3 linked regions of the Bombyx mori genome follow. The protein of the gene in region 2 purifies or fractionates together with the protein of the main gene of each other region. This does not show direct contact. Links are inferred from orthologs where the notes say so. Each region holds a gene or a part of one and is shown on either strand. Other genes may lie near its edges. The genes, in order: protein HGH1 homolog; DNA polymerase interacting tetratricopeptide repeat-containing, protein of 47 kDa; erythroid differentiation-related factor 1.

Region 1 (3,380 bases), on a different chromosome or scaffold from region 2:
GTGGTGGTACTTACTCGTGCGGACTCACAAGAGGTCCTACCACCAGTAATTCATTAATTGCATTTTTGGAATTGACCAGAAAACATGAATTTTGGATTAAACCACTTCAATTCTGCTTACAAAAATTTGAAAAAAGTAACAGCTATGACATGCATCAGTTTCTGTAATCTTAACATGGGCCATAAATAAAAATAAACTTTTATACTATCATTAGCTTATATGTGTATAATTTGATTTGAAAATTGAAGCAATTAAAATTTAGTAAAAACACAAGTGTTTCTAAACAGTCCGTTTCTGCATAAGTTGGTACTATTTTACATACATATTATCTTATCTACTATGAAAGTAATTACAAGATCCAGTTCAGACTTGTTTTTTTTTTAAATTACACTTCTTGGGACTTAACGTTTAAGGCAGTTTCTACCAGCCAAAGATTCAACCTTATTTCAATATAGTTTTCAGTCACACAGAAACTAATTCTTGAATGGATCAATTATACGGAAGTATCTGAACAATTGATAAAACACAAAGATAAAATCAACATGGGAGGCTCAATAGAAACCCTTAAGTGCTCGAATGGACGTCAGACTTAAGACAGCATTCTCCGCCTTAGGCATCTAATTGGACTTAAAAAGACAAAATAATTAGATTAATAATTCTTTATTGCAGATTCATCATAAAATCACTATTGGTTTTATTGAATCTTTCCCTCAATTCCTCAGGTACTTCTACTGTTGACAGGTCCTCCGCACCGACCTCGTCTTCCTTCTGAATCAGTATATCCACTACATTCTCACACGCTATCAAAGCTTTCGGGTCTTTTTCCCATTTATGATATTCTCTCATTATATAGTACACTCCGTTCTCGCGTAAATACTGTCTGCCTCTACGTTGAGCACACAATTTGTTCAGTGTCTCCAGTATCAGAATACGTATGTCTATATCAGGCTCTCTCCGCTTCTCCTTTGGTAAATACTGTAAAGTAACAGGGAGTGTTTCCATTTCGTCATCAGGATAATCTTCGTTGCCCATTAAGGGATACAAAATGTATGTAAGCAGATCCAAGTCCGGGCTCACTAGGAACTCGTGGTAGTCTGTGTCGAATGATATATTACGTATTGTACCGATCGCACCACCCTTCCGTATGTTGGACACATCATAGTTACAGAACGGTATTAATTTTATTAACGGTACATGGGGATTCTCTTCGCAGAGCCACTTCCTTATTCTGTGGCTGCAGGCCAGGTTGCTAAACATGGGCGCCAGGTAATGCAGGTTCGAACCGGTCTTGTTAAACTCTGTGTTCACGAATGCGTTCATGATATCGTTTAGATGGGGTATAAAAGTGTTCAGGCAGACTTCCAGCTCGTCTTCGAGTCGCGTGATGTTCGACAGGGTCATACAGGCGGCATCTGCGTCAGTTTTGTTAGGATTCAATACGTAGCTAATGAGTAGGTCGATTATGTTTTTATAGCGCAATGGCTTGTATTTGAGAAGCTCTGTAGCGCCACGCGTGTAGGCAGATATGTTAACGAGCATCAGGAGTGCGTGTTTAGCGATTTCTTTGATTCTGTCGTCCGTTAATTCGATGACGGCTTGAGTGATTCTTTCGTGTTCAAGCATTTTGTTAACACCGTCTTCCGTCCCCGATAGGCTGACGAGATAGTCCATGGATATGTGTCTCAAGTCTATCCTGGACTCTGGTTTCAGGAATTCGATCAATTCGTCGAAAGAATCGAGCGCCATTGTGTGTAATAGGATTTAAATTTGATTTATTGTAACTTACGCAGTTGACGCGATCTCTTGTGTCGCTATTTGTTGACAGCAAAAATTTCCTGTCAAAATCTTGGAATGATGTTTTTTTTTTCATGTTAGCAATGAAATCTACTCCACTAAAATCCACAGACTAAGGTCATTTATTTTGCTCAGTCTGTTAAAAATACATTACAGGCATCATTATTTAACAGTAATTAACAGGTTCTACAATGATTTTTGATTTCTAATGAGTTTCTGATATTTCGGCGGTGTTGCAAATGCCATGATCATGGATAGTCTAGACATTAAATTAAATATGTTAAATGCAAATAGCCGCGAAATTTTAAAACTGTTTGTAATAATCATTTAAAAGTAGCATAAAGAGTATGACTAAGTACCTATTTAATAGTAAATTCGTGTGTGATATTTTTTCCTTGATTTAACACTTATACATCGTCTTTTTAATCCAGTAAAATTTAAGATTTTTATTGATTAAAGCCGATTAAGACTTGAATTAAGCACGTTTCTTATGTAAATTACTTTTGTATTTTTCAGTATGTTAATTGGCTTCTTTTGGTGAAGGTGATACAAAAGGATGGTCACAATCCTCAGCCGTGAAGAATACGAGGAGGAATTGGCTTCTTATGATGCCATTATTGACAGTGTTGTGTCTATTTATTTATTAAATATTTATTTACTTTAAGAAATAGTACGTAATGAAAGAAGTTGATTAATATGAAAGCCATTAATTATAATTGAACGAAATAAAATGGAATTAGATGAGATGAGTCAAGATGGAATTAAATACTTTCCCAGTAAAATTGTGAGACTGACCCTTCAATTGACCTTAATATATTGAAATTGAAAAGCCACGTTCTGGGAATTTCTCACTTTCCCATACTTGTGCACTTCCACGGATCCTCAACGATTAATAAGTTGCCATTACTACACGCTTAAGGCACCGTAATAGTTTTAGTTATTTATTTTGTGAACCAGAAAATATCTGAAATTTTCAATTTTAAATTTAGTTCCGAAATAGAAAATACTCCACGACAACCAGTTTTAGACCGGGTCTTTCAACAGAAAGTGCATTTTTTTTTGCCTAAAGCGGACTGTCAGATACTACACCGATAGAAAGACGCCAGTTTACGCGTGCTTCCTTGACCTGTCGAAAGCGTTTGATCTGGTCTGCTACGATATGTTATGAAAAAAACTGGAGGATACCAAAGTGCCACCAGAAATAAATAGCATTTTTAAATTTTGGTACAGCAACCAGGTCAGCGTTGTGATATGGGCAGGAGCGCTGTCTGAACCGTACAGGCTGGAGTGCGGGGTGAGGCAGGGGGGATTGACCTCCCCTAAGCTTTTTAACCTGTACGTTAATGCTCTGATTCGCGAGCTTAGCAGCACACATGTCGGCTGTCATGTTGAAGGTGTCAATATCAATAATATTAGTTACGCTGATGACATGGTGCTGCTGAGTGCGTCTCCCTTGGACTGGCGAGGCTCCTACGTATATGTGAAAGGTATGTTAGCTGTCATGGCCTAGTGTATAACTTTAAAAAAAGTAAATGCATGGTCTTTGAGGCCGCAGCCAAGTACCCTATGAGAATACCATCCATTAC
Region 2 (4,164 bases):
GACTTGGCTCAAGTTTCGAGAGGTCAATGTCATCTTCGTCATCACAATTGGATATTTTGATTCCTCGTTCTATTATGGCTTTGAGTACCGCGTCTTTTTGCTCCGTAATATTTTGTATATTACGAGCCTGTTTCCTTTGATCTCTTTCCTGGAAAAAAATATTATTGTAGCATACGTTAAAGAATTTGAAAAATTCTAAATGAAAACGGTACATACACATCGATAAAAAGGATTACAATATGTAGGTATCCAACCGAATATTCTTTGTAAGAGCATCGTCAAATGGACTAATAAAAAAGTAAAATAGACCTTATTACAATTACGCCTATAATATGTTGTTAAATGATATTAATTAGAAAGATAATTATCCCCTATAATCCCATAGATGTAAATATGTACATGTAAATTCATGGCCTATGTTTCGTGGCGTATTTACAGAACATATTATACCCCGCAAATAAATAGCTTTTCCTGCACTAAAAAATTTCATTAATTTAATCCATTGATGAAGTTTGCCTAATACATATTTAGTGTTTTATTAAAAATTTACTGGTTATGTGTTGCAAGGTTTTTTTTAATATTGCTTAGATGCGTGGACGAGCTCACAGCCCACCTGGTGTTAAGTGGTTACTGGAGCCCATAGACATCCACAACGTAAATGCGCAACGTAAAGGTGGGTACCTTGAGATATAAGTTCTAAGGTCTCAAGTATAGTCACAACGGCTGCCCCACCCTTCAAACCGAAACGCATTACTGCTTCACGGCAGAAATAAGCGGAGCGGTGGTACCTACCCGTGTGGACTCACAAGATGTCCTACCACCAGTAAGCTTAAGAGCTGATGAGATTATAACGGTATCATCTCGTGCTTATTTCTACTGCAAATAAATATTGTATTGATACTAGAGTTCAACTTCAAAAGCAATGAGGATTAATATTTCTAAATTTTAATGAAAGTAAAATAACTACCATTATTATTTTCTTTTTCTTAGCATTACTCAGGAGTTCAGAAATGTCCTTATCCTTTGTATTTTCTAAGATCTCTTCACAGTATTTTATACAGGTCTGGTACTTTGCTATTTGAAATGCTGACTTAGCAGCTCGTATTTTAGCTTTAGTATGATTAGAACTGAAAGATAACGCTTTTTCACTGTCTCCGAGTGCAGATCTGAAGTTCTTTAAATGCCAGTGGGCAGCAGCACGGTTGTTGTACAAACTGGCATTAATCTCAGCATTATCACATCTTTGTTTTATACCTTCGGTGTACCTAAGATAGAATATCAAAACTCAAACATAAAATATAACATTTTATCTTAAATTTCGACAGATTAACTCCCTTATCTGTAATTACATTCAATTAAACTAACCAAACAAGTCATGGACTTACTTAATGAAGACACATTAAAACAAAAAAACAAAATATTTGCAACAGTCCCAGTAAAGTAATTCTGAATTAAATTAATTTCATAAAGTAGCTATATATATTACAACTTACCCTAATATTGCAAGTCTATAATTCTTGTGTTTGAAATTGAAATTTCCATCCTCTTTGTAATTACTAGCTAGTTCAACAGGTGTGTTTTCTTCTGGATCAAACTTGAGATTTGCGAGACCCTCTGCCAGTGGAGAAAGCTCACCATTTTCAGGAGTTGACTTCATAAAAAATGGATGTTTGTCCATTTCCTCCTAAATAAATTGAGTAAATAGCCTATTAGAATCGGCTTTTGGTACAATAATTGTATAAAAGTTCAATGTTTTAAATGAGTCGATTATTATCAAAGCCGGCAATCTGACTTTTGGACAATGATTGGTAAATCAGAAAAACGAATTATTGACTTTGTATCCATTGGCAGTCACAAAACTCTTCGGAACGACATCTTAGATAAATAACAGGTTAACTATTAACCTTTATTTAATGCAGGTTTTGAACCGTATTCTTTGAAGGAGACGATTATATTCAAATCAATCTGTATTGACATATCAATAATTTTTTTTTGTCCAAATGCACAGATTGCCACCTTTGGTAATAGACGACTCAAATACATGTTTTATAATATATGTTGAACTTTTTCATCAAAAAAACAACATATCTTGAGTTCCTAAGCATATAGTGTGTTATGAAATTAAATTAGTTTTTTTGTTTTCGTCAATCAGCATACATTACTCAGAAACGTAACCATTAGTATACCGTTGCAAATGATTTTAATGTTTATTTTATTGTATTATAAAATTCAATTAAGGAAATCAAAATATATTTGATTACAATACAACTCACGTTCTCCTGTATAAAAACAACACTTTAAAAAGAGCAAACAAAATAGACACATATTACCTCCCATCTATCTTCAGGCCAACCCTCAGTATACCTCCTCTTTTCTAAGCTGTCTATAAAGTCATCTAGCTCTTTGTCTAGCTTCTGGCACAACTCTAATCTCTCCTCTTCGGTCATTGGGGATTTTACATCACTTTTATTAGCCTCGGCCATGATTTAGTTGCTTTTTAAATACAATAGTTTAACAAAACTTTCTCATTAATATCAGAAATCTGCTCCCTAAATATTGAACTTGTTCATTATTTTGTATCACAATAATGTATTTTTTGTTGAAAATTACTTTATTAAACGAACATGCTCTTTAATGTTTCATAAACATAACCCTATTAATTAACTACATAATTTTCAATGTTTATAAATCTCAATAACCTAAATTTTATTCCGTCTTTCAGACATTTGACAAAATTCAACGTTGACGCTTGACGTTTTCAATTATTATTGTCTTCCATTAAATCGTAGTTTTCCTAACACAAATGCCCGTATCTTTAGACGTTTCGTAAAATAGTCCTCCACTCTTAACTCATCCGATGATGCTCGAGAATTCCCTCCAAACATACTCGAGTTTGGTATTTTTAGTCGACCATTACAATATTCCTCAACTGTCCTCGAGTGAGGTAATAATGATGAAAATTTGATCAAGCTAGCATCAAACCCATAGAGTTCTGTAGTCTATGATCATTGTTTAATGTCAAAGCCAAGCTGCCGCTATCTCTTTGACACTAGATGAACCTGTTTGATGTTTTGGTTGCTGAGTTATTCGTAAATATGTGTGCGTGCGGTAAATCTGAAAGTGTATTATTTATTTTCTAACCTATTATTATTTTAGATTTCGGATCCGGCTTTGTATTTTTATTCGCCGCTTTTGTGTGATTTTGGTTGCATCGTATTGTTGAAGTGCTTTTCCACAACCACCAGTTTATTATTATATAAATAAAACTTATAATCGCATTGACTTTATTTATCAGGTAGTAAGCAAAATATGTTTGTTATGTAGGTAAATAAAATAAAGAGTTTCAAATGTCTAACCTCGAACTATTTACTTTATTAATAAATATTATCAAACTTAAATTATCAAAATATGCGGGAATCATGCACAGATCCAGGCCATTGCACAACAATATCATATATTTCCATTTGCGGTCCACAATCATAAACCTAAGAGATAGATAGATAGATACTATTTGGACATTGATAGAAAACCAGCCTTGAGGAACGTTCAAGGTACGTCGCGACGTACCTTGACTTGACAGTTCGCTTACTTCACTCCGGTTAGGAAAATTTTCCAAGGACGTTTGAGTGGAGTTTATTTTTACGACTAATCATACCAAAACGCGCGTTGGAGGTTGAGTCGAGTCGAGTTAAGCTCGTGTAAACGACTAAAGATACGGGTGTTACTCTCTATCAGCCCACAGACGTTTACTGCTGGACATAGGCCTCCTCAAGCCTCACTACAAAGATCGGCCCTGCACTACCTGCATCCAATGGATCCCCGTGAACCTCAATAGGAATGAGTAAATTTTGACGCAGCAGTCATGAATTCCAGTTTCAAAAGTGACATGTGATCGATAATAATGTTTTAAATCTACAGGTACATAAGGTTCTTTACTCTGTACTCCCTACAACAGTAATTAATCTTATGGCCTTGTTTAAATTACCTATACTATGAATTTTCCAACATCCCTCAAGATATAAACCTACTAGTGGCCCGCTTCGGCTTCGCTCGGGTCTTTAACAAAAGTTTTAGTAAGGATCCCTAATTTTTGTTAAAAAAAAATAACCTATGTTACTCGGAGATAATGTAGCTTCCAAACAGTGAAAGAATTTTTCAAATCGA
Region 3 (3,658 bases), on a different chromosome or scaffold from region 2:
AGGCATTGAACAAGTACATAAAACACTCATTTTCATCTTTTCCACCATCAACGAGTTCCTAAGTTTTACAAACAGATTGGAATATCAAACTCGATTTGAGCCAGGCCTATAATCTATATATATATAAAAAAATGAATTGCTGTTCGTTAGTCTCGCTGAAACTCGAGAACGGCTGGACCGATTTGGCTAATTTTGGTCTTGAATTATTTGTGGAAGTCCAGAGAAGGTTTAAAATATATAATAAATATATATAAAAACAAACAATTTTGTTTTTCCTTTTGTTTGTTTTAAGTTTATTTTATACAAAAGCTTAGGTCTTTTATTTATCGATTGAGGTACTACGAAGTCTGCCGGGTCAGCTAGTACCTAATAAAAATTGTAAACTTTACCGTGCTTCAACTTCGAGTGACGATAAAAGTTCCCGGAATAGGCTAAGTGTACTCACGCTGGGCGTCGTTCATGTATCTGACGGCGAGCTCGTTAAGGACCGAGGCCAGTCTCCTCAGCAGCTCATCCCTCTTGTCGTGAGTGACCCTCACGGCGCGCCTGTAGTAGTCACACGACATAATCATCGCTGAGGTCTCGCTCGTCGGTAAGCTTATATCTGCGAAAGTTTTATTAATGACTTTGAAGTCGTGCAAGTCGAAGTGGCGCATTTGCGTCGTGGATGTCTATGGGCTCCAGTAACCACTTAACACCAGGTGTGCTGTGAGCTCGTCCACCCATCTAGGTAATAAAAAATAAATAAATAAAAACTAGCTGTACCGATCCGCTTCGCTGGGCATCTAAAATTAACATAATTATTTCCCTCACCCCCACAAAGACACTCATCATTAACGCCCCCGCAACTGGTGTAGAGAGTCCAACACTCATATAAATATTAGCCTATCCATTAAGTGCATGTATTTTCTACATGGATACCAAGTTTCAAGTCAATCGGATGCACGGTTCAGTAGTTATAACGGAACATCCGTAAAAACCACTGTAGATTTATATATTAGTATAGATAAATCAGGAGCAGAGGGCGCTAGTGGCGGGGAATCTAAGGGCCATCTGTTGTACTTCCCCGAGGTCGAACCCATTGGTCGTCGAAGCCTTATGACATGTTTTTTTTTTAAATTATTTATTGCATAAATGACTGGACGAGCTCGCCCGGTGTTAAATGGTTATCGGAGCCCATAGACATCTACAATGTAAATGCCGCCACCCACTTTGAGATATAAGTTCTAAGGTCTCAGTATAGTTACAACGGCTTTGAAGGGTGGGGTACCCTTCAAACCTAAACCAATGCATAACAATCACATTAAAAAAACCCATTACAAACACTACCATGTATTTGACACACACACGAATGCATACTATTTGTTTATTGTCAAACTTTTCTTATTGCTCTTAGTCTGTGGTCAAGTTGGGAATAGATTAAATATTATTGATCTTTATTAATATCGCCTAAATTGGCAAAATCTGTGATCATAGAAGTAGTCTTTGATAATTATAATAGTGTACAAACTTATAATTTCAACTAATTATAGTCGAATTTTGACTACCGGGAGGCCATTAGTTATCTGTAGAAAGGCAAAGGGTCTCACCTAGGTCAAAGAAAGGCAAAGAGTCTCACCTAGGTCAAAGAAAGGCAAAGGGACTCACCTAGGTTAAAGAAAGGCAAAGGGTCTCACCTAGGTCCAAGAAAGGCAAAGAGTCTCACCTAGGTTAAAGAAAGGCAAAGGGTCTCACCTAGGTCAAAGAAAGGCAAAGAGTCTCACCTAGGTCAAAGAAAGGCAAAGGGACTCACCTAGGTTAAAGAAAGGCAAAGGCAAAGGGTCTCACCTAGGTCAAAGAAAGGCAAAGAGTCTCACCTAGGTCAAAGAAAGGCAAAGGGACTCACCTAGGTTAAAGAAAGGCAAAGGGTCTCACCTAGGTCCAAGAAAGGCAAAGGGTCTCACCTAGGTCAAAGTCATCCGAAGCGACACCTTCAACCTCCTCGGTCATGTCGCTCTCGATCTCCGCCTTCAGCCCGCTGTCCGTGTCGTGGTCCGTCTCGAATTGCTTCCTGTACGTGTCTAGACTCCCCCAGTGCTTGCTCAGCTGAAAATAATTATCGCCCACCCTGCCCAGGAGGCAGCTGGCGTCCACCACTTTACTCTTGATGATCATGTTGCTCAGCAGCTTCTGGCACTTGGATGCTATATCGATGTACTTTAAGGAGAAGCCGTACTGCTCGTTGACGTAGCTGTACTCAGCGAGGGTGGCGCACGCTAAGCATATCTTCTCATACAGCAACGTTTTCAGATGTAGCTTCCAAGCAAAGTTGTCGTCCCTGTTCGGTTCGTGCCACGACGGAAACACTTTCTTCTCCTTCCGAATCAAAATGGCGTTCTTGTCTATGGGTTTCGTTTCCACTAACGAGCCACTCGTATCGGGCGGCTTTTCGCTCAACTTATTGGTCTTCTCGCTGTTCTTTCGGTCTCGTTTACGTCTCCGGCCCCGGGAGCGTTCTTTGAGCTCTTTATTGATTGGCTCGTAGTTCATTTTGATCGGTTCGTATGGGTTCGCCATTTTGGGGTGTTGTTCTTCGACGATGATCTGCTGCTTGAGTCGCTCCCTCTCCTCCTGCTTGCACTTGTCGATGGTGACGTTGTGCAGAGCTAGAAGCCCCCGCAGCGCGTGCAGGAGCGCCCGGCCGCAGCGCGCGGGCACGGCCACTCCCAGCCCGCTGGAGCCCGACGCCTTCCCTTTCTCCTCCTGGTGGTGGTCATATTTTTTATTTTTATTGCTTAGATGGGTGGACGAGCTCACAGCCTGGTGTTAAGTGGTTACTCGAGCCCATAGACATCTACGACGTAAATGCGCCACCCAGCTTGAGATGTAAGTTCTAAGGTCTCAAGTATAGTTACAGCGGCTGCCCCAACTTTCAAACCGAAACGCATTACTGCTTCACGGCAGAAATAGGCAGGGCGGTGGCACCTACCCGCGCAGACTCACAAGAGTTCCTACCACCAGTAATTACGCAAATTATAATTTAGCGGGTTTGGTTTTTATTACACGATGTTATGCCTTCACCGTGGAAGTCAATCGTGAACATTTATTGAGTACGTATTTCATTAGAAAAATTGGTACCCGCCTGCGGGATTCGAACACCGTTGCATCGCTACATACGAATGCACCGGACGTCTTATCGATTACAACGACTTCAGTTAAGGGTTGTCACTCTAAAACTTTCATACGTATCTCACGGAGTGCCATCCTTATAGTACTTTAATTTTTTAATTTACATAATACAATAGTATTTATGGTGTTCAATAAAGTAAAGACGAAATGGCGTTTCTCCTAAAAAAAACAACAAGATTTTTATTTACAAATTTTCACTGTATCTTGTACAAAAACGTTTATAGCTAACAATACTCACCTATAAAAAAAACAACAAGAAACAACATGAAATGCCTTTTCTTCAGGTTTAATTATTATTACAATAATTCTTTATCATACACAAAACTTTCTTTCACAACGTTTATTTAACCGAAAAAAATATTTTTTTTAACAACTGTCAGTTGTCATATGACAGATGACAGTGACATCTAATAATTAACGTTCAATCATTCAGTGAGTAAAGTGATTTTCCCTTGTCAACTCCCCTTTCGTTTATATTCTTAGTTCATTA

The links.
Region 1: the proteins of DNA polymerase interacting tetratricopeptide repeat-containing, protein of 47 kDa (region 2) and protein HGH1 homolog purify together in Homo sapiens (co-immunoprecipitation; 4 studies listed by BioGRID and IntAct, counting the BioPlex papers as one, with this or other methods). This does not show direct contact. The link is inferred for Bombyx mori from reciprocal best matches to the Homo sapiens genes TTC4 and HGH1.
Region 3: the proteins of DNA polymerase interacting tetratricopeptide repeat-containing, protein of 47 kDa (region 2) and erythroid differentiation-related factor 1 purify together in Homo sapiens (affinity purification with mass spectrometry; 3 studies listed by BioGRID and IntAct, counting the BioPlex papers as one, with this or other methods). This does not show direct contact. The link is inferred for Bombyx mori from reciprocal best matches to the Homo sapiens genes TTC4 and EDRF1.

Annotation. Positions count from the first base shown.
Region 1 is NC_085117.1:1,010,782-1,014,161, reverse strand, and holds protein HGH1 homolog, read right to left. Parts: upstream 2,039-3,380; 5' UTR 1,976-2,038; intron 1,893-1,975; 5' UTR 1,747-1,892; coding exon 661-1,746; 3' UTR 645-660; downstream 1-644.
Region 2 is NC_085126.1:4,843,229-4,847,392, reverse strand, and holds the start of DNA polymerase interacting tetratricopeptide repeat-containing, protein of 47 kDa, read right to left. Parts: upstream 2,925-4,164; 5' UTR 2,484-2,924; coding exon 2,331-2,483; intron 1,685-2,330; coding exon 1,494-1,684; intron 1,266-1,493; coding exon 968-1,265; intron 149-967; coding exon 1-148.
Region 3 is NC_085132.1:2,168,555-2,172,212, reverse strand, and holds part of erythroid differentiation-related factor 1, read right to left. Parts: intron 2,743-3,658; coding exon 1,944-2,742; intron 605-1,943; coding exon 446-604; intron 1-445. UniProt on the Homo sapiens protein: Transcription factor involved in erythroid differentiation. Involved in transcriptional activation of the globin gene.